Linked DNA regions of Drosophila melanogaster. The protein of the gene in region 3 purifies or fractionates together with the protein of the main gene of each other region. This does not show direct contact. Each region holds a gene or a part of one and is shown on either strand. Other genes may lie near its edges. The genes, in order: Rsph1, Rsbp15 and Rsph3.

Evidence for each region.
Region 1: the proteins of Rsph3 (region 3) and Rsph1 purify together in Drosophila melanogaster (affinity purification with western blotting; one study listed by BioGRID). This does not show direct contact.
Region 2: the proteins of Rsph3 (region 3) and Rsbp15 purify together in Drosophila melanogaster (affinity purification with western blotting; one study listed by BioGRID). This does not show direct contact.

What each region holds. Positions count from the first base shown.
Region 1 is NT_033779.5:13,180,286-13,186,160, reverse strand, and holds Rsph1 (radial spoke head protein 1), read right to left. Parts: upstream 2,712-5,875; 5' UTR 2,573-2,711; coding exon 2,498-2,572; intron 2,334-2,497; coding exon 1,374-2,333; 3' UTR 1,286-1,373; downstream 1-1,285. Other genes in the region: CG16974 (uncharacterized protein), read left to right, coding at 1-744; Mgat3 (beta-1,4-mannosyl-glycoprotein 4-beta-N-acetylglucosaminyltransferase), read left to right, coding at 3,709-5,172; Alg7 dolichyl-phosphate N-acetylglucosaminephosphotransferase, read right to left, coding at 2,762-3,254, 5,766-5,875.
Region 2 is NT_033777.3:12,219,901-12,225,818, forward strand, and holds Rsbp15 (radial spoke binding protein 15), read left to right. Parts: upstream 1-2,486; 5' UTR 2,487-2,582; coding exon 2,583-2,766; intron 2,767-2,833; coding exon 2,834-3,312; intron 3,313-3,372; coding exon 3,373-3,453; intron 3,454-3,540; coding exon 3,541-4,062; 3' UTR 4,063-4,148; downstream 4,149-5,918. Other genes in the region: CG4860 (uncharacterized protein), read right to left, coding at 112-1,085, 1,216-1,455, 1,517-1,550; CG17404 (uncharacterized protein), read right to left, coding at 4,163-4,324, 4,377-4,972, 5,036-5,105; CG12256 (uncharacterized protein), read right to left, coding at 5,464-5,619, 5,682-5,918.
Region 3 is NT_037436.4:6,756,129-6,765,218, forward strand, and holds Rsph3 (radial spoke head protein 3), read right to left. Parts: upstream 4,987-9,090; 5' UTR 4,763-4,986; coding exon 3,813-4,762; intron 1,983-3,812; coding exon 1,892-1,982; intron 1,807-1,891; coding exon 1,391-1,806; intron 1,327-1,390; coding exon 804-1,326; 3' UTR 501-803; downstream 1-500. Other genes in the region: Ist1, read right to left, coding at 1-30, 95-276.

The DNA.
Region 1 (5,875 bases), on a different chromosome or scaffold from region 3:
GCGTCGCTTTACTATACCCCACCAGACGATGACTTGCTGCATAGCTCGCAACTTAACCTGCAGAACTCCCCCATCCACATCAACTACATTGATGAGAATCTGGATCAGCAAAAGCAGTTGGAGCACGATTTTAAAATGGAACCTCAGCTATTGCTTTACAATGCCTCCATGCTCTATATGAATCCCGAAGGCGCCAGCAGCAGTGGCCAGGCGGCGGCTTTGGCGGCAGCAGGGGCTCTATCGCAGTTCATAAGCGTGGAGGACAATAATCAAGAGCAGGAGATGCAGCCGCTAAGGAAGATCAGCGGTAAACCACTGGGGATGCCCGAACTGAAGGACTTGAACGATGTGAAGACCTCAAAGTCATGTCCGGCCATTTATAAGGTTTCCAAACAGCGAGATGGTAGCACACTGCATGAGTTGCAGAAGGAGGGCGAAGCACCATACCAAATGCTTCGCATAAATCCCGTGGAGACCACTTCGCTGACCTCAACCGTTGCTCCTGTGATGCAGGCGAGGACGGAGAAGCTGAACATTATCCTGGACGAATGCGGCACGGCGTCGTTGTGCAAAGCGGAACAGGAGGGCGACGCAGGGAATAGCGAGACTCCACCATCCGAGTCCAGTTGTGAGTCCAACAGCTTGGCCGCCAGTTGCGGCGATGTCTGCCAGGTCAGCAGTAAGCTGGCAAATGACGCCTCATTACCATCTACTCCCCCCAAGCCTGACCATGCCAGCACCTAGAGATTTTTTTAAATTAAACATTAGTAACGAAGATATAAACTGTATAGAAGTACGTAAATCAAACACGCATCTGCAAATGAAGTTAATGTTAATGGTTACGCTACAATGGTAGGGCGGACAACAATAATTAAACTTAGAGTTAATTAGCAAAACGCAGAAATTCAAGTGCTGAACATTAGAAAATATATATGTATATCGGAACAAGTCATACGATTACACCGACCGATGAGCTGATCAAAAACCAAGCTTAATGAATTTAAAATTGAGATCTATTCACAGCTGGATTCTATCGCTGAGGTATCATCACGTCAATAAAACTTGAAAAGAGAGCCCCCCATTTGTGATTTCATTACTTAACGAGTTTAAAGCATCAAAACTGTAAAGTGCAAGGCGTATTTTAAAATGAAACTGACAAATTTTAATTGAACTGTATGAAAATAAAAGCGTATATAACAAATAAACCATAACTTATATCAATTGCCGAATTCCTTATTCCAAGATAAAATCATTCTACGGCCACCGACTTAATATATGTTTTTTTGTTTTTCAGATATACTGATATATTCTTTCATTTGCAGGCAACATAAAATAACAATAACAAATGCATGTGGAATAGCGCAGCTACATTCCTAAGGATCTGGACACTCTGGTTGCTTGAGGATCTCAATGCAGCATGGATTGGCGTCGATTTTGCACACCTCGCTCTCCGTCTCCACCTCGCTGACATCGGTGAGATCGCACTCGCATGGGAAGCACTCCATCTCGCCGCCCTCCTCGCCCTCGGCCTCTTCACCCTCTCCATACCAACTGATCTTCTCCTCGCTGCGCATGCTCGGCTCAGTGGAGAGCGAGCAGACGGACAGCTCGGAATCGGAAATGGCCAGAGGCACTGGCTCCTGCGGCAGCAGCGAAAAGTCATACACGGCCATCTCCTGGGCGAACCATAGTGTTGGTTCCATTGGCTCCGCTTCACCCATCTCGTCCTCCAAGCGCTCCTCGGCGTCCTCCATCTCGTCTTCGTTGCTGATCGCCTTCATGTTGTAACTGGCGGGCAGGAAATAGCCCAGCAGAAGGTATCGATTGTTGAAGCTAAACACGGCCGGTCCACTCGGGTACAGGTTATCCCAAATTCCGTGAAGTATTGTGCACTTGTCCTCATTGCCGATATACAGCTCGAAGGGACCCGTTCGCATGTTGCTGTTCCAGGTGGCCTTCATTCTGACGGACAGGCAGCAGCCATCCTTTCCGCTGTTAAAGTGATAGATGCCCACCCCATGACGTTGTCCCTTGAACCAGTCACCCGAATAGTTGTCCCCATTCACATACTTGTACCGGCCCTTGCCGTGCTTCAAGTTCTTTCGCCAGTTGCCCTCGTACACGGATCCGTCCGGATAGATGAAGATGCCGCGCCCACAACGCTTCCCGCAGCGATACTGTCCGTAGTATCGTGAACCATCCTTGAACACGTACACCCCGATGCCGTGACGGCGACCCTTCCTGTAGTTCCCATCATACTGATCTCCGTTGGGCAGGATGGCCCAACCTCTACCTTGTCTCTGTCCGGCAGCATTTCGACCGCCTATGTAGAGCTGGGATTGAGGATTATTATAGATATTTGTTTTAATTGAGCTCCTTGCTTACTAAAAACTGTTACTACTAGAGAATGTTCGTATTAAAGTTACTCCACTAAAAATTTATTTCTTTTGAGGAAGGAAGATGCACTACTAAGAAACTCATCCATTTTGGAACTTACGCCTATATTGGGTCCCAAATCCTCCTCTTCCTCGGGCGCCGACAGATCCTCCTCGGACATTTCGGTCATGGCCATGGTGATGATTTTGAGTTAACTAACTCCTTTCGGTTCTTTTTATTGCCGAGTGAAGTAGATTTTTACTTACGAATTACGTTCGGGAAATATTTTGTGTAGGCATTAAATAAATGTATTCTGTTTGTATAGTTAACTTAGCAAAGGCTTACTACAATAAATATCAGAATCGAAGAATGATGAAATCGAGGGCTACGTTTTCGCATAGAAGTAGTTGGCCAGTGGATATCGTATGGTCAGGGCAATCAGTGTACACAGCACCTGGAATCCCATCAGCATCTGGGTGACCACTCGCTCGTGGACAGGTCCGAAAACGACTAGGACAAAGTTAATGAGCGTAAAGTTGTTGGTCCTAACAACTCCGTCCGCTTTGGTATGCCAGCTTATTAGTCGCAAGTTCCGCAGTACTGTGACCATCAGGCGACCCGGAGCGTTGAGATCCTCCAGGCGAAACTCCGTGGTGCTGATGTGGAGCAGATCCGTCTTGCTGTCGTACTTGGGCAGCCGGTGACGCGGACATGGCACAAAGTGGAACAGCTGCGGCGTGGAGTACAGGAAATTCAGGATCTGCGGCAGGAAGAAGAGCAGCAGCGTCTTGCTGAAGTGGCCCAGGATTCCAACCACGGCGAAAGTCATGCCGGCAAAGTAGCAGTAGGTGTCCCCAACAAACACCTGCGATGGATATCTGCGAAATAAGTAAGATAGAAAATATATTACAAACGAAAAGTTAGTTAGAAGTAAAAAAAATATTAGGAATTAACAACAAAATTACGCATGACAGAAAAATTAACATTATTATCCGAACTTTATTACATAAAAGTTTTATTTTTTGTGAATATGATAATTATTAAATTTAAGCTGACGAAAAGAGATTATAACGTATTTTTAAGTTTCAAATAACATCCTTAATAATTCGATAACAGTAACAACCAGTGTTGTAAGGCCCATCGATGCGAAACAGCCAGATTTACAACTGCAGCGGCGAACAGCTGACTGAGGACATTTGCGTCAGCTGTGCGGGGGAGTTGAGGGGTGCCGTAAAATTTTTGGGCGTGTTTGCCAGCAGAAGAAAAGCGTGAAAAGTACGAAAAATCGAAACGGAATGAGCAGGATGAACTGCAGAAAGTGAACCAGTGACCATGGTGAGAAGCACATTCCTGGCCACCTACAACCAGACACCGGTAGCCGGCGTTGGACGGCTGGCCATCACCAAGAAGCTGGTGCTCTGGTTGGTGCTGGTGCTGCAGGTGGGCTTCATCGGCTGCATATGGCTGCTGCAGATGAGCCGTGGCCAGGAGTCGCAGCAGCGCAGTGCAATGGACCAACTTGGCGGACGGGTCAACTTCGTGGCCAGCGGTGAAGCCCCTATGGAGAAGATGGCACTTGTGGGCGGAACCCACTGTCCGCATCTGCAGGAGAATGTCAACCGCTACGACAAGGACTTTTATCAAATGAAACCGGAACGACTGAACGAATCCCACCTGCCCGACTACAATGTGCCCGCCTATGTGGACGCGGAGATGGGTCTAACCCCAAACCTCTGGTGCTATCGCGAGGGGACCATCAACGAGAGCCAGCGGCTCAACGATGTGGACTATCTGATGGCGCCGCCTCAATGCAGATGTGAAAGTGGCTGGCACGGCAGAGATTGCGGCCAGCCGGAGATCATATGGCGAGCCCTGATGACGTCCAATCGGGCCAGTAAACGAGGCGGTAGCACACCGCTTCAACTGGTCGAGGCCAGTTCTTCTTCACTGCACCGCCTGTTCTATATGCTTGAATTGGGCGCCTGGGACCACCTAAGTCTGGAGCTCTTGGAGCTGCAAATTCGAGCGCTCATCGAGGTTGTGGACTACTTTCTCATATACTATGTGAGCAACGGCAGCAAGGAGCGGAGTCTGGAGAGCATGCTGGGCAGCCAAACGAGCTATACGCTACTACGCTGCTCCTCCGAGAGCAACTGCACCAGCTCAATGGCCTACAGTCACTTTAGGCGGCAGCTGTGGCAGCAGTGTGGTGTCCAAATGCAGGCACAGGACCTGCTGCTGCACGGGGACAGTGGAACGGTCTACGCGCCAGCAGCACTCAAGTTTCTGAAGTACTATGCCAAGGATGTGCTGCCGCTGAAATTTCGTTTGAAGTACAATGTATATGGATTCTACTGGCAGCATCCGAAGAAGACCCTCCTAAATGGGGTGATAAGTTCCTTGGGGCACCTGCACAGTGCCCAACTGGATGCTCACCGCCTGCACCGGCTGGCGAGCAGCACACTGGGTGATCTCAACCACTACGGCGGCTGGAACTGCGAGCTGTGCCTGCCTCCCGAGCAGATTGTGCTCCTGCTGCAGAGCTCCAGTCCCCGCAAGCTGCCAGTAAAACTACCCAACGATACCCGCAATGCCCACATCGATGCCAACTACATGCAGCAACTGATAGCCAATGGAGTTCACATCGATGGCACCACGCAGCTGCACCGCTTGCGGGAGCAGAGCGAGAAGTATTTCGCTCCGGAGGAGGCGCTCCAGCACAGCAGCCAGTACGGCCAGCTGCTGGTGAACCTATACGATGTGGACGTCCTGGAAGATCTGCAGGACGAAGACTAACTACGCCTGCCGAAGTTTGACTTGGGCATGGCAGCCTATCGAACCAGCATAAACCTACGAATATATATATTTATATGTGCCTGCTTTTGAATCCCCATCAAAGTCTAACAATCTCATAATCATCATATCATACTCTGCCTAATCCACTCATGCGAATGCCCTTCTGTGTTTTTGGCCAGGTGAATTCCAAATTTAGTATCTCAGCAGACAGGACAGACAGACCCGCCATCTGTGATAAGAAAAACCAGAACTAAACAATGAATTTATGAGAGGAAGTCGATGCAACCAACTGAGAGAAGTCTCAAATTTGCTGGAAAAAGTTGTGAAATGGGTTGATCGCAATTTAGCATTATTTTTAAGACATAACACACACGATCTGTATGAAAAAGCTTTTTAGACTTACTTTAAATATTAATACCAATTATCAGAAGGCAAGCAAATTTAAGCTTAGTTTTGGTTACAATTTTGAAGCAATTTTGAATTTGTGTTATTACTTTATTACTAACGTACCCTAATTATAATTAGACGAAAATTTGTTGACCTTCCAGATCAATTCAGTATTTATAAAAATAAAAATCAATTGGATTACTCACTTGTTGAACTTCCATAGCGCTAGGGTGGTGGCCAGGAAAGGCAGCATGAAGTAAATGGAGAATATATGCGAATCCACCTGGTGACCGAGCAACAGTTCAATGGCATTGAA
Region 2 (5,918 bases), on a different chromosome or scaffold from region 3:
ATTAAATGCATTTGTCTGGCATAGATAAACTAATTTACATACACAACAAGTGTAAAAGCAAGAATTCTGATTGGTTTGGCAGCAGTAATAAAGAAAAACCAACAATGGCTTTCACTCCTTTCCCAATTCCCGCAGCACTGCGTTGGCGATCACAATTCTTTGGATCTCCGAGGTTCCCTCGTAAATCTCTGTGACGCGGGCGTTGCGGTAGTAAAGCTCCGCAGGCAGATCGGTGGTGTACCCCATCCCACCCAGGATCTGGATGCACTGGTGGGCACAAAAGGTGGCGGACTCGGAGGCATGCAGCTTGGCCATGGCCGCCTCCTTTGTGATTGGCAGCCCATTATCCTTCAGCCAAGCGGCACGCCACGTTAGCAGCCTTGAGATCTCCACCCGCGTGGCCATGTCGGCCAGCTTCTGCTGGATGAGCTGCAACCGTGCCAGATGCTTTCCGAAGGCCACCCTCTTCTGCGAATAATCCACGGCTAGTTCCAGGGCAGCTTGTGCGATACCGGTGGCCTGGGCGGCTATACCGATCCTGCCACAGTCCAAGGACTGCATGGCGATCTTGAAGCCATCACCGGCAGCTCCAAGGACCCGGGATCGCGGCACGTGAACGTCCTCCAGCACCAGCTGGCAAGTCGAAGTCGCGCGCATGCCCATTTTGCTTTCCTTCTTGGCTATGGAGAGTCCTGGAACATCCTTGGGCGTAAGAAAGGCAGTGATTCCCTTGTGTTTCATGCTCTTGTCCACCGTGGCAAAGACGATACCCCCGCTGGCCTCCTTGGAGTTTGATATCCACGCTTTAGTGCCGTTTATTTGGTAGCTGTCCCCTTGCAGCTTGGCCGTGGTGCTGGCAGCTCCTGCATCCGATCCGTTTCCAGGTTCCGATAGTGCATAGAAGGCGATGTGCTCACCCTGGGTGTACGGCACCAGGAAATCCTGCTTCTGCTGCTCGGTTCCATGCTGCTGCACTGCACCCAGGTACAGGTTATTCACGCCCATCACAATGGACACGGCGGCGTCACCACGAGCCACCTCCTCCATGCCAATCGCGTAGGCCTGGTAATCCAATCCGGAACCACCTGAAAAATCAATATTTAATGAATGGAATCTAGTAGTATGATCTATTTATATACCATTTCAAAAATGAAAACATCACATATTTTATGTTATGTAAATATTGTAAATATTATAATTGAAATAGGAACTCACCATACTCCTCTCGAACCGTCACTGACATGAGACCGAGTTCTCCCAACCGTCGGACCTGTTCCGCCGGATAAAGCTCCTCCCGGTCGTGGTGTCGCGCTTTGGGGGCCAGTTCCGCATTGGCGAACTCCCGGCAAGTCTTCTGGAGAATCTGGTGGGTCTCGGAGAGGGCGGCCAGGCATGCGATTCCCCGGTTTCCACCAGCGATTATCCTCGCACTCCATGCGCCGCTCGAGCGTTGACCTGCAAAGACGGAGGCGGCAAATCGATCATCCAGTCAGCCGGGAATCACCCAGTTCCTCACCCAACGTCCGCGCCACTCTGATCAGCTGCTGCATTCCGTCGCCAACTGATCCCAAGCCCGTGGTGCCGGTTGCGATCGAGGTAGTGAAAGCTTTTTCGCACTCGTCGACGAGCCGATCGAAATACAACCGAGGAAAACAGCTTTTATACGCAGCTTTTTGAGGCGAAGTTCATGGGAGGAGATTGAAAGGGGGTCCCGTTTATTAAAAACTACTAATCGATTTTGTAAAATGGTTCTTTTAAATTGATTTTAATTGAGTATAAGAATTACTAAAATCATTTTAGTTGTTTCAAATTTGTAATTTATAATCGGTTTTTAACAAATTTTAAAGTTTCATTTAAAAATGGTATTGATAAGCGCCGAAGTCACCACTGCGCCACTGTGTTCGTATAAAGTGTTTCAACTATATAGTACTACCTAAAATGATCGAAAGTATTTTGTTTTGGCGCTAACTTTGTGAAATTACCAAGTTTCTGGGTTAAAGATCATTTGAAAGAACAGAAAGGGAAAGCGGTTCAATGGATTTCGATAAAGAAGAATCCACCAAGAACCCTGTTGATTTCCTATACCGGCTGAATACGAAATTAGGCAATGCTAATTTCCGATACACACCCACTTTCATTGAAAGGTACAAGGTGCATTTTACCCACATGAAACACAAGTACACATTACAATTTTTCAACTTACATATTACAAAGTTAGTGGACTTTGGGAATTTTCAGGAACACGTGTGAGACAGTTTTTTGAAACATTTAAGCTCATGGATCAAATTGAGAATATATAACCCATTATTGTTTTTCACCATTTAAACATTTAAACCAGCTTTTTGCTAGCGCCATCTAGGTTAAGTAAACAGAACTGAGCACCTTACATCAGCAAGGTATTTCGCAGTCAGTCCGTGTAAAAATCATTGTAGAGCGCTGTAAATTATTATTTTCATTTGCTCTTAACGTAGTAGACCGGTTAAAAGGGATTTCAAAACTGAACCATTTCCGAATTATTATCTTCTTCTCAGCTAAACTGTTCAAAATTATAGAATTTTGCTTTATACTTTTGAAAAACGAAGATGAATTACTTGATCCAGCGTGGCAAGATGCGCCAGCAGGCGATTAATGTTCCAGAGGGTCTGCCGGAACTTCTATCAGATGTTACACGGGAGGTGCTAAGGTGTCAGCCGAAGAAAGAGTGCCTCTGCCAGTTCATCATCGACTATCTACATTCGGTGATCGTGACAAGGGAAAAGGCTATGGGTAAGTACTCCCACAGGATGTAGAAAGTATCAAACTTTTCTTTACGCACGCCTGTATTTTCTTACAGTGGCCAAGACCATTTTGGATCGCTCTCTGCGCCAGGTGGACAGCATAATATCGGACCTCTGTGTCTGTGATCTCTCCAAGGAGAAGTCCGAGTTGATGGGCCAGGTTCTAGAGGACTGTTTCCGTAACTTCCTCGAGAAACGACGCTGCGAGATGCGGCGTGGCAAGCAGGCGATTAAGTTCGAGGATGTGGACATCCTAGAGGAGCTGCTGCAGAAGTGCAAGTTTACCGACGAGGAGCTGGTCATGTCACGGCCGGCCATCGAGAGTGCCTACAAGCGCTTCGTGGACGCCTATATGTCCGCCGAACGTGGAGCCGATGGAACGGAGCTACTCTACCAGTACTTCCGGGACAGGGAACTGAAGCGTATCAACGAGGCCATGCGCAACCAGGCAGCCATCACGATCCAGGCGGCTTGGCGAGGATACTGGGTTCGCCTCCAGTTCCCGCAAGAAGTTTGCGTTTGTGTCTGCGCAGCGGTAAGTGAATCTACTTCTAAAAGTCTGCCCCTAAACTTGGTTATGACTTAAATCCAACAGGAAAAAGAGGACGACGGGGAGGAAAAGCGCAGGGAACAGGCAGCGAGCGTTCTTCAGAGATTCTTCCGCAAGGTTATGTTGGTATGTAACAAGAGTTAAAAACTATTTTACATTATATATATTTATATTTTAAACTGTTTTTCTTAATTTTTTACGCCAAATTTGCAGCGCGTGGTTACCAAGCCAATCGTAGACCCCTGTGCCGAACCAACGGAACCAACTGAAGTGGATGCTAGCTCTTCACCGGATACAGCAAAGGATGGCTATGACGACGTAAATCTCTCGACAGTACCGACAACTGCTGCGATAACAGCCGGACCAACACCATTACCAACTGCTCCCGGAACTGTGCCGCCATCTGCCCCAGGCACTGCTCCGGCCACGGCCAGAACTTCGGCCACTGCTATAGCAGAGCCAGAAGCTCATGAAGAGGCTGCGGAAGCTCAGCCAGCGGAGGAAGCTCCTGCAGCAGAGGCGCCTGCTGATGAAGCAGCACCAGCTCCGGCTGAGGAGGCTGCCCCACCGCCAGCAGAAGAGGCTGCACCGGAAGCCGCCGAAGAGCCGGCACCTCCACCACCACCAGAAGAAGCAGCGGCACCGCCACCGCCCGCTGAGGAGCCCGCTCCGACAGAGGGAGCAGCTCCTCCCGCTGAAGAAGCTCCCGCAGAAGAAGCTCCCGCAGCTGAGTAGATGAAACCATGCTGTGTTTATTAATTTTCCCTTAGTTGTTAAATTGATGTTATCTGCAAGTGAATAAACTGATCGAAAAGTGCTGGAATCCTCTTCTCCTTCAGGATTTTGTTTGATTTCCTATCCAGTCACTGAAGGTAGACACTCTGGTGTAGACATCCGGAGAGATGTATAGACCACACACCACCAGCCCGTAGGATACTATGCCCACTTGCTGTAATCCATTTTTGGATTCCATTACCAAAGGACCGCCAGAGTCGCCCTGGAAACAAGATCAATCTATGATCTAGCTAGTGTATTATCATCCAACTCACCGAACAGGCTCCCCTAAAAGGTCCTCTGGCGCAGATCTCCGTATCCGTAACGCTCTCCATGCCCGCATTCCTGCACTCACTGTTCGAGATGGTGTGGTAACTCATGCGCTGAAGAACATTGGGATAGTTCACATTATCCAAGAAGGGAAAGGGCACTGGTAAGCGGAGGCCCCATCCCGTCAAGGTTACTGGAACTCCTCCACCAACGAAGTCTTTCCCCTGCGATCGATACTCAATTGCACTAATGGTCGAGTTATTTAACTTCAGCGGAGGTTTGATGGACAGCACGGCAAGATCGCTGGTAACCAGTTCCTGATACTTGGGATGGATGCTGTAGGATAGCACCTGGGAGCGGGAACCCTTCTCGTTCAGTCCTCGAATTCCGGCCACAACAGACATGCGACTGGCGTTGAGACCCTGACAACAGTGAGCTGCAGTAAGGATGCGATTGGGAGCGATGATGGATCCACCGCAGAAGTGCATCTGACCACCGCGTGTTCTGTACTGCAGCGAAACCTGGTAGGGCACATGTTCGCCTGGTGGGATGTCAGCGCCTCCAACAATACGATGTGGAGTATACCCACTGGGTTGACGAGCTTTAACAATATACACGTCTGTTACCAGGGGATTCTGAGTTACTGATTCCAATTCAAACTCACAATTCAGTCTCCCGAAGACTCCTCCCAAAGCTACAACTCCGATCAGCAGTAGTTGTTCAGTTAGACCCATCGTTGTTTGGCTAATGCCACTGGCTTTGCACCTGCCACACTTCTTAAATAAGAGCTTAGCCCACATTGGCGAAAGAATTTGCATATGTATCGCAAAATATCTGGGTCACCTTGGCTACTTGGTTATGCCATTATATTTGATCTTGAAATTGAAATTATAATGAGAGCTTCTGCTGGTAACGCAGCCCAGATACCTGGTATGCAAATATCTAATTACGAATTTGCAAGACATATTTACGGACAACGATAATGCCACATTTGACTGACTTGGTAAAGTAGAGTTTATCAGAATATATTTGAATAACTCGCGATCGATATTCCAATATTTGTTTTGACAATTTGTACATTGTGATATTGCTTTAGACCATTCTTTCCTTAATCCAACCGTCAAACATGGACACTCTGGTATAGACATCAGGATTGTTCGAGGCACAGAATGCAGTTCCATAGGAGACGACGCCCACCTGTTTATAGGACTCACCACTCTTCATCACCAAAGGACCGCCAGAATCGCCCTTAAAAAGTATTTCAAAATTAGCTAACATTATTTCGATTTCCACTTGAATATACTACTCACATTACAGGCACCCTTGCCAAACCTTTCCAAGGCACAGATCTCTGTGTCCGTCAGCTGGGTCATCGTCTCCTTGCACTTGGAATTGCTCAGTGTCTTGTAGTCGAGTTTCTGGAGTACAGTGGGATATTTGGCGAAAGGACCTGTGCCAAAGTGGAAGACAGAACCCCATCCGGTGAGGAGAACCTCCTGATCGGCACCTACCATGTCCGATCCACTGACGTCGATGGTGGACACACG
Region 3 (9,090 bases):
ATTTCCATTGCCTCCACCAAGTAGTCCTCCCTATGATGTACGATATATACGATATATGGAGGTATAAGAATGGCTCATATATTCCTGCACCCACCTAATGATGTGCTCCACGCGAATCCTCGCCCTTTCCGTTTTGCCCGTGGCCAAATAGTCGGCTATTTCCTTCCTGGACTTTTGCGTCAGCTCCGCCTTCTTCTTCTCCAGCAATTTCAGGCGATTGAGAGCCAATCGAAGATTGGTCTTCAGTTTGTTGTAATTGGGGCCGCTGGAAAACATCTTCACTACACCCTGGACTTCCGAATTAGTTGTGAAAACAAGGAAATTCGGTCAGTGGTGATTCATTAATTCGGTATGGAAAAAACAATGTGACGTCACGTGCAGTGTGACCGTACATGCAGACCCCTTAAATACCAAGGTAACATTGAAATTTCAAATTGCTTGGCTCTATTAATATTTTAATTTAATTTAACAACCGTTTAAAATATTTTCTAAAATGTTTTGTTCGGCTTATTTTGTTGAGCTTTATTGGTTGAATTTTCGGTAACACAAAAACCTTTAACAAGTATCCAGTTTACAATATGCCATTCCATTTTTTCGATGCCATTTCGCCGCCGCCGCTATGCAATTGTGTTTGGCGCCCAGGCTCGATTCGAATCCTGCGGCGAATTGAGTTCTTCACCAGACACAACCACAAAGTTGCAGCCAACCTTGATTTAATAGCAGGAGTGTGTTAGTGTTACATGTGTGCGGAATCAGTATCCCACTCGAAATATATATATGAACTAAAACTCGAACGCAATCACTTAGAGATGAGGAGCCGGTGGTGGCGGTTCGGGGCACTCCTCCATTTCCGTTTCCGATTCGCAGGGACACGCCTCCATCTCATCGATGGCACAGCCCTCCTCCTCACAAACGCCCGCATCCGGTCCGGATGGTTCCGATTCAGGTTCCTTGTAGCCGGCATAGATCTCGGCACGCTGCTTGATAATCTCCTGAATGATGGCGGTGAGAATCTCGCGCGAGTCCACTATATGGCCCACTTCCTCGGCCACCTCGGCGGACAACCACGGGCAGACGCTCTTCATAAGCTGCTCCTTCTTAACGGCATCGCTGGCCGGCTCAATGTTCTCCAGCACCTCCGGCACCAGACTGGCAATGTGTCCCTGGAGCAACTTGGCCGCCGTCACGCTCTTCTGCATCTCAGCGTCCAGCTCCTTGGCAATCGCATCTTGTCGCAGGCGACGCTCCTTCTCCGCCTGCAAGCGCAGCTCCTCAGCCTCCAAACGGCGCAGCTCGGCCAGTTCCGCCTCCCTCTGGGCCAGGAATCTGTGGGTAACACAAAACGCCATTATAGTAATCTGAAGATTTACTTTACACTTTTTATACGTACTCTTCCTGTTTGCGTCGCAGACTGGACAGTTCCATCTCGTGAGCCACCTCCAGCATGCTTTGTTCAATGCAGGCGTCCACCAGGACATCGATGATTGGCTGCGCCTCGGCATCGAAGTGGAAGAGTTCGCCCTCACCGATCTCGGTGGCCACATCCACGCCCACCTTGGCCGGTATGAACGGAGGCGTCGGCGGCTTCTCGAGGAACAGGTCCGTCTGCGTGTCGATGGTGAACTCCGGCGGACGCTGCACCAACTTCTCCAGATACTTCTCCGTCTGTATGGTCTCGTGCTTCCGCCCCTTGACCGGCGGCGGTGTGCCCAGGACATTTCTCTGATTGCGGCACTGCATCGTCCGTTTGCGCAACATATTGCGACGCCTCAATTCGGCGGCCTTGTCGAAGGGATCCACATCCGTCTGGAGAGGAAGCAAAAAGTGGATTAGTCGTAGGTCAGGGCTGCCAGAGCACTGAGCTAAGCTGAGCTGAACTGATGGGACTTACCACCAGAGAGGCGTTGCCGAAGTTGCTGCCCTTTATGACGCGACGGTCGTACATGACGTTCTTGTAGGGTTCCGGCGGCGGGACGACGGGTCTGCAAGAGGAGCAAAGTGGAGAAGCGGGCATGGAGTTGCCCAGGTGGGAGCCACCAATTAGTAAGCCTCGACCCAGTTCAACAAACTGCTCATGCAGCAAAAAAGCTGCAGACTTTTTGAAAAGGTTCGTAAATGTGCAACTTAAAAGGATTACTACATAAATGGTTAAGTTCTCTAATAAATATGATATCTATGTATGGATAAATATTGTAATTGCTGCTGGAAAAGCAAGTTAAAAGTGTATGAGTTTTAGTTATCTTTAGATTTGTTAACTTCTTTCTATTAAAGTTTAAATATTTTATTTATTTAGTTTTGATTTGCTGCAGTTTCAGTGCACTTTGCTGCATTTGCCAAGACCCAAATCTGTTGCACTATCAAGGCGATAAACATCAAATTTGTTCATTTCCCAACGCCCTCGCAGACTGCTTGTCAGGTCATCTCCGATTCGAATCAATTTCGCCAAAGTTCAGTACACTTTTGGGTCAGAGTTTAAAGCCTGCTTAAAGTTCCACGAGTCCAGTCCGCGGTGGCTGAGTAATTTATGACTTGCTAATTTATATGTATAGCACCGGCAAGTAAATGGGGAAACAAACATTTCTTACATTTCTACATATATGCTGATACATACATGCTGACTGCGAGTAGAAGTAGTATATAACGTAGTTAGACATTGCACTAGAAGAACTTGGCACCTGAACTCGTGACCTATGCAAATTCGCAGCTACTTTTGGCCCACAAACAGGAAGTCACATTGAAGTTGCTGGCGAATGTCTAACAACATTTCTCTGGGTCTGGGTCTGCGCACCACAGACATCAGCAAATGGAACGGGAAACCCTTAGTGCGATGTCCTTATGAGGGATATATGGTCTGAACGAAAATCTAAGTTGGTGAATCCTTTTTGAGTTATAAAATAGTTATCTCCCTAATAGGTTCTTTATTTAAACGTTGAGTGTGATATTTCATTTTTCGTAACCCAAAAAGTATAGCCCATTTGGCCGAACAACATCCCATTTGGGTAAAAACGACCGGCAGGACCTGTTTTTTGTTTTTTTTTTTTTTTTTATTATTGTGCCATAGGTGTCCTTCTTCTCTGGTGTGGTAATTGAACTTAATATCCCTCCATTTGTGCTTTGGTACAATGGGTACATATTGTTGTTGTTTACGAAATCTTGATTTAAATTATTTAAGCCCCGAGCTGGGAATATAGAATATTCTCCGCTGGCACGACACATTCGAGGGTCCTTTGTCCCTTTGTCCATTTGTCCATTTGTTCGCATGTTCTTTTATGCAAGGCAAACGAGTTTTCCCATTCGAGAATGCGCTAAATAAATTAATCAAACCGTTCAGGGAATTTACAATGTCCGAATGTTATTGGAAAAGCATTTCTAATTGAATTGTTAAAGAGTTAATTGTGAAAGTGGGTGAGCCACACAAGAAACTTGGCTGATGAAGAGCCTTCCATTCTATTTGCGTGTCATAGTAAAGTCTAAAAACAGATCAATAAGGTATCATCTTGAATCTATATCAGTTTAGATAACAAATCCTTGAAGGATTCAATTCGGCACTTTAAACCACAAAACCTATTTGTAATTGAATTGTTTGGGTGTCAATCGATAATGGCCGTAGGAACTGAAGTGGGGAGCTAAGTTCTGGTTCCATTGCAGAATGGCAGTGTAGGTACGTACGTATTACTCATTTGAATTTATGGTAATATATTTTGGCCCACTTTGCCTTGGTCAGTTGTCGGACCTTTTCCACTTCCCACCTTTTTTTTTTTTACTTCCAAGTTTAGCACCCATACCATTTTGGGGGTTGGTCTTTTTATTACCTCTTGTCGCTGATGTTGCTGCTGCTGTTGTTGTTGTTGTTGCTGGTGGAGCGACGCTGTTGCAGTTGTTGTTGGAACTGAGCCTTGGTGATGTGGAGTCCACCGGCGAGGGATTGCGTATCGTTACGGGAGGATTTGGAGGCCGCAGCTGTGGCCGCCGCCACTGCCGCCGTGGCACGCAAACCGTTCAGCCGGGTGGCGGTCACCTTCTGCTCCTTGCTCTCACTGCCGGTCTCCTTGGTGAGATACCCTTGGAGGATCATGGGATATGAGGAGTAGGCGTAGACATGCCTCCTCAGCATGGTGGCCGGTATCATTTGGACCTCATGCGGAGGCGGCAGGAAGATGCCCTGCGGCACTGTGGTCTCGAATCGTGGTCGCTGCGACATCGCTGGATCCATCCAGGCACCGGAATTGGCGCTCTGGCGACCGCCGTAGTTCTGCTCCTCCGGCGCCAGGAAGCGCAGCTTCTGGCTCAGCTCATCGGCGAAGCTGCGCACCTCCTGGTTGCTGCGCGAGAAGTGCGATCGCTGTGGAGGATTCCCTACATGATTATCACGGTTATCAGCTATGCCCGCCTCACGTCTAATCGGACGCACGATGGCCTGTTGGGGTCGCGTTGGATAGGAATCGAATTCGGGCTCCTCGGAGGGCTGATGGCGCAGCACCGAGAATGCGTTGGTCACCACGTGCTGGAAATTGTAGGGACTCTGATAGCGCTGGACGTTGAAGCCGCCGGCGTTGTAGTTGGTGGAGCTGTAGTTGGTGTTCGAATTGGAGCTGGACGAGACGCGTCCTGGTGCGTAGGGATAGCTGCTGGCGAAGGAGAAGTTCTGCACGCGATTCGGTCTATTGTCGGTGAGGTGCTCCAGTTCTGGCACTGGCTGTGGATCTGGCTTAAGTTCAGGATGTGAGTGTGCTGGGTGCTGCTGCTGCTCCGTCTCTGGCATGGTCTCCGCTACCGTCTCGGTTATCCCTGCTCCCGGCCGCCGGTCACCTCGTTCATTATAAATAGCCACCACACGGTTCTCTCACCCGCCGCACCGAAAAACTTAATCAATACTTTTCCTATATTTTTCCCTTTTGTGCGCCGCTCAGGTGTTGCGTTCGTTGGTTGATTGTTTGATTTTGTCGCGGAACACGTACCGCACGGCTCGAATGGCAAACGCCAAATGACCAAAGGACTCGCAGGACTCGTGGAACTCGCGCTCGGACCCGGTTTCGACTTTGGATTCGGCCCGTGGTCAGCAGTCGTCGTGCAGTTGGAAAAATATGTGGAACATATAGTCTCCTACTGCCCACGACTAAAGCTTTCCAGGAATTGAGCTGTTACTTCAAAGGACATTTTTAGTAAAAATATCCTTAAAGTGCTGCAATTGGTTTATATAGAAAATTGCATATTTAAACTATTCATGTTGCTGTTTCATAAGTTTAAATAACAATACTTCGCGTGCGTGCCACAATGTAAGTTTCTATACTATATACACATATTTTTCAAATTTTTTTCTGAGTGTATCGCTTGCTTCGCAGTTTGAGGCACATGATGGGCAGGTGTTGCAATAATAATGCGAACTGTTAACAGTCGGTGGCATTGGCATGGCCAAATCCACGTTCCCAGGAATTCTACTTTGCATAAGAGCTTTTTCTTTTCCATCCAAGTAGTTTCGTTGGGGTCTCCAATTAAAGGTTTCGCCCGGCGGAGGGACCTTGAATTTGTTTCGATGGTGTCCACATTTCCTTTCACATTGTCGGAGATGACTTCACGCATTTCCCTGCCTGACATTGAAAAAGGAGGTGGGTGGCTCTCTATTACTTGGAACACCTCCTAGGTATTGTCAATGGCCAAGGTCAATTGCTTGGACTGCCTGATAAGCGGAATTCAACAGGGAACTAAGCATAATTAAGTAGATTTCTTGGCACTCCAAGGAGTCACTCTTTTTTACTGGCAATGAAGAAAGGTCAGTGAATAGATGAAAGATTATTGTAACAGGAATTGGTAAGAATGTATCAGAAGTCCAAAAGCTTTTGGTAAAGCCTGTTGTTAAAAAAGGTAATTTTCTTTCACTCAATCATACTTCTATATGATTAAATTCGTTGGCTGACCTAAAGCACGGTATTCTTATCCTAATTTGAACATATACAGTTCAGAATTGATGTACTAATATATTCGAATAAATGATAAGATATAAGATATACCACACTGTAGTATTTATTCGATTTTTAGCTTGAGAGAAGAATGAGCACTTTACTACAACTGGATTTAGATACACTATAGTTTATTGGGTTTTTATCATATTTGGGGATCATCCTTATTCCCTGGTTGACCTTAATCCGACCCAAGTCCAGCCCCCGTCATTATCGGTAGTCAGATATATTTGTATATTTTTATGATACTAGTGCGTCAATTTCTACAATAGTTTTAAGCACTCATCGACTTCCACACTCCTCATAATTTCCTGTCCTGTGCACTCCTTCTATTGTTTCCCTTCAGAACACGAATGTTTCTATTCAAAATCGTACCAAGTTTGCGTGTCCTTTAGTGGGGCCATTGTATTGACCATCAGCCGAACACGGCCAGCGTTTAATAATTTATTTACGCAATTTATGACTTTCGTTTTTGGTCTTGGGTTCCATTGACCCCAGTGGGGAGACATATAAAGGTGTAGAAAATTCCCCTGCAAGGCGTTACAAAAAGCAATGGTTTTGCAACTATAGGATACTCATTACAAGAGGAGTAATACCCATGATAATTAACTCGAGCTTACAATTTCTAATGGTTCATATTTGTAGCGTATAAATGATTTCTTAACTACTTATTGAATTATTATATATTATATAAATTACAAAGAAAGTAAGAAAGTTGATTAATATTATAATATAATTTTACGAAATATTCAATATACCCTACTTGTCGGACTTAAATTACAGGGAATTACAGGGAAGCATGGGAAATTCTTTGGGTGGCTTCTGTTTGATACTTACTTGGGGCAACCTTTGATTTTGATCGGCTTGGGATGGCTGGCCCACCAAAATGCCTGTTTGCATGGTGGCGCTGGACAAGGATTCTCGTGCCACTTGAGCTGCATCTCGGTGACCTCGGTTCCCTTGATGCCGGAACTGAGGAAATCCATTCCTGAGCTTTTGCCACCACCATTGGGTTTGTAATCCCTCTTCGGGATCGTCGGCATTGCTAACTATTGCTATGTTGCGTTATTGAGGTTTTTAAAAACTTAAAATATATATATCGGATAAAGGTCTACCGCTTGCCAAATTTATGTGTACAAAATAGATTTATTTATGTGACACATTTTCACTGGAGTTCTTTGTCCTATGTTTTTATCTCCATATTTAAAAAAATATTGTATTATCAAAAAATTTGTATCCAAAATAAACAACGACGGCGGAATTTCCTCAGTTGCCATGGGAATTGAAAGTCGGCATTGTTAAACTGTTGCTGTGTGGGGATGGGTCTTTGGCAATGCACTTTATTCGTATTAACACTCGATAGATTTTGTTCGTTTTTTGACTGAAAGTCTATCGAGACATTTGCAATTTTTCCTTCTAACTTTCGCTTAGCGAATGGTCACTACACATTCCCATATATTATACACAACTAACTATCATTCAGTATGAGGAATCTATTTTTATATCTTCCTAGCAAGGAGAAACTAATGCAAAGCAACTTTTTCTAAGGAGCTTTATTAGCTTTTAGCTGGACTTGACCAAATACCAATATAATTTATTTATTATTTATCATTATCATTTTATTATTACTGATTTATTATTCCAACTACATTGCATGCATTCTGCAGATACAGCTGCTGTTCGGGATTTTGATTCATAGATAGATTTTTAATTGACACTTTAAGCGCATCGTTAAATTTAAGCAGGATGGCAGAAAAATAATTATTTATGTTTTTTGTATAAATTTTACAATTTTTAAAATTATTCATTAAGGTCTAAAATGGTTAAAACATTTTACAAGTCCTAAGCAAAATAACTATATTTTTCTACATGACATTATACACTTACAATGTGAATATTTTTTTACAGTAAAATGTATATTATACATATGTATACTTTGTTTTACTTGTCAGCAAGCAGTAAACCCGAACCTAAATTGCAAGCAGTTTTCAATGCTACTATTTATTGGCTAATATTAAATAGTTTACAGTAACAAAGAAAAAAGTTTATAAAAAAATTTTATTTCAAAATTGTTATCATCGATTAGTGGTAAGTTTGCAGATAAATTACATTTTTGGTCTATTTGGTTGCACAATTGCCTTGGGGACATCAAAAAATCTCACTAATTCCTTGATATTAAAATGACTTTGAATTTTCTAAACTATTTATCACTAAGTTAAATCGCTTGCCATCAGTTAAAACGTTTCGATGTAGCCACGCCTGAATCGAATTTCCCTGGAACGTGTCATTTAATTAGGTTTTCAAGGCTTATCATATCTCGGACTATCGAACGTTTGTCATTTGAATTGACCCCCTTTTTCTGTTTCGAGTTACACAGAATCTTTTGTATGGTTCTGTCTATTCATTAACAAATAGTTCGAAGGACTTTGGTCTTCGGACTGGACAACAATGACGTGGCTGTCAACGATGACGTTTCGCTTTATGCGGGGGTGATAATTGCGTCCGAAGCGAACCCCTTGAAATTCCCGAAAATGCCTAATAAGATCACAGGAACAACAGTCCGCACTCGATAAGTGGCCATGACGTTTGACATTCGCTGTGGTCCTTTGGCCATTTAGTGAGTTCAAAGGTTAATGATGGCCACACAGGCGACAACTGGCGACTGAGATCTTGTCCCGCAATTTCCCGATCATTTGCTCAGATACGATACGGATTCTGCGAAGTCACCGGGCAAAGGCATCCCACTGAGTTTGTTGGCTTCTTGTCAAACAAATCATTTACTGCGGATACTCCTCGATATTCCTCAAGATACTATCCATTTCACTGTGTAGGTGTGAGCTGCAATTTTCCCTGGAAAAATTACGTCCAGCACGGGATTTGATTAATTTATTACCGCTTGTCGAAGGGAAAGTGATCTTCGGGTTCCTAACGGTTGCGGATCGTAAAAAACATTCGGCAGACACAATTGTTGAATTATCTGCGGGCTGCTGTTGTGGGCACTTTTTTATGAGTTATTTATGTGCGACTGTGGCGCCAACAGGATCATAAAATATGTAGTTATGGGTAAATCTGTGAAAATAAATGTAAGCGTAATCTGGAAAATATTGAGTGGCCTAGATTCACCACATTAGTC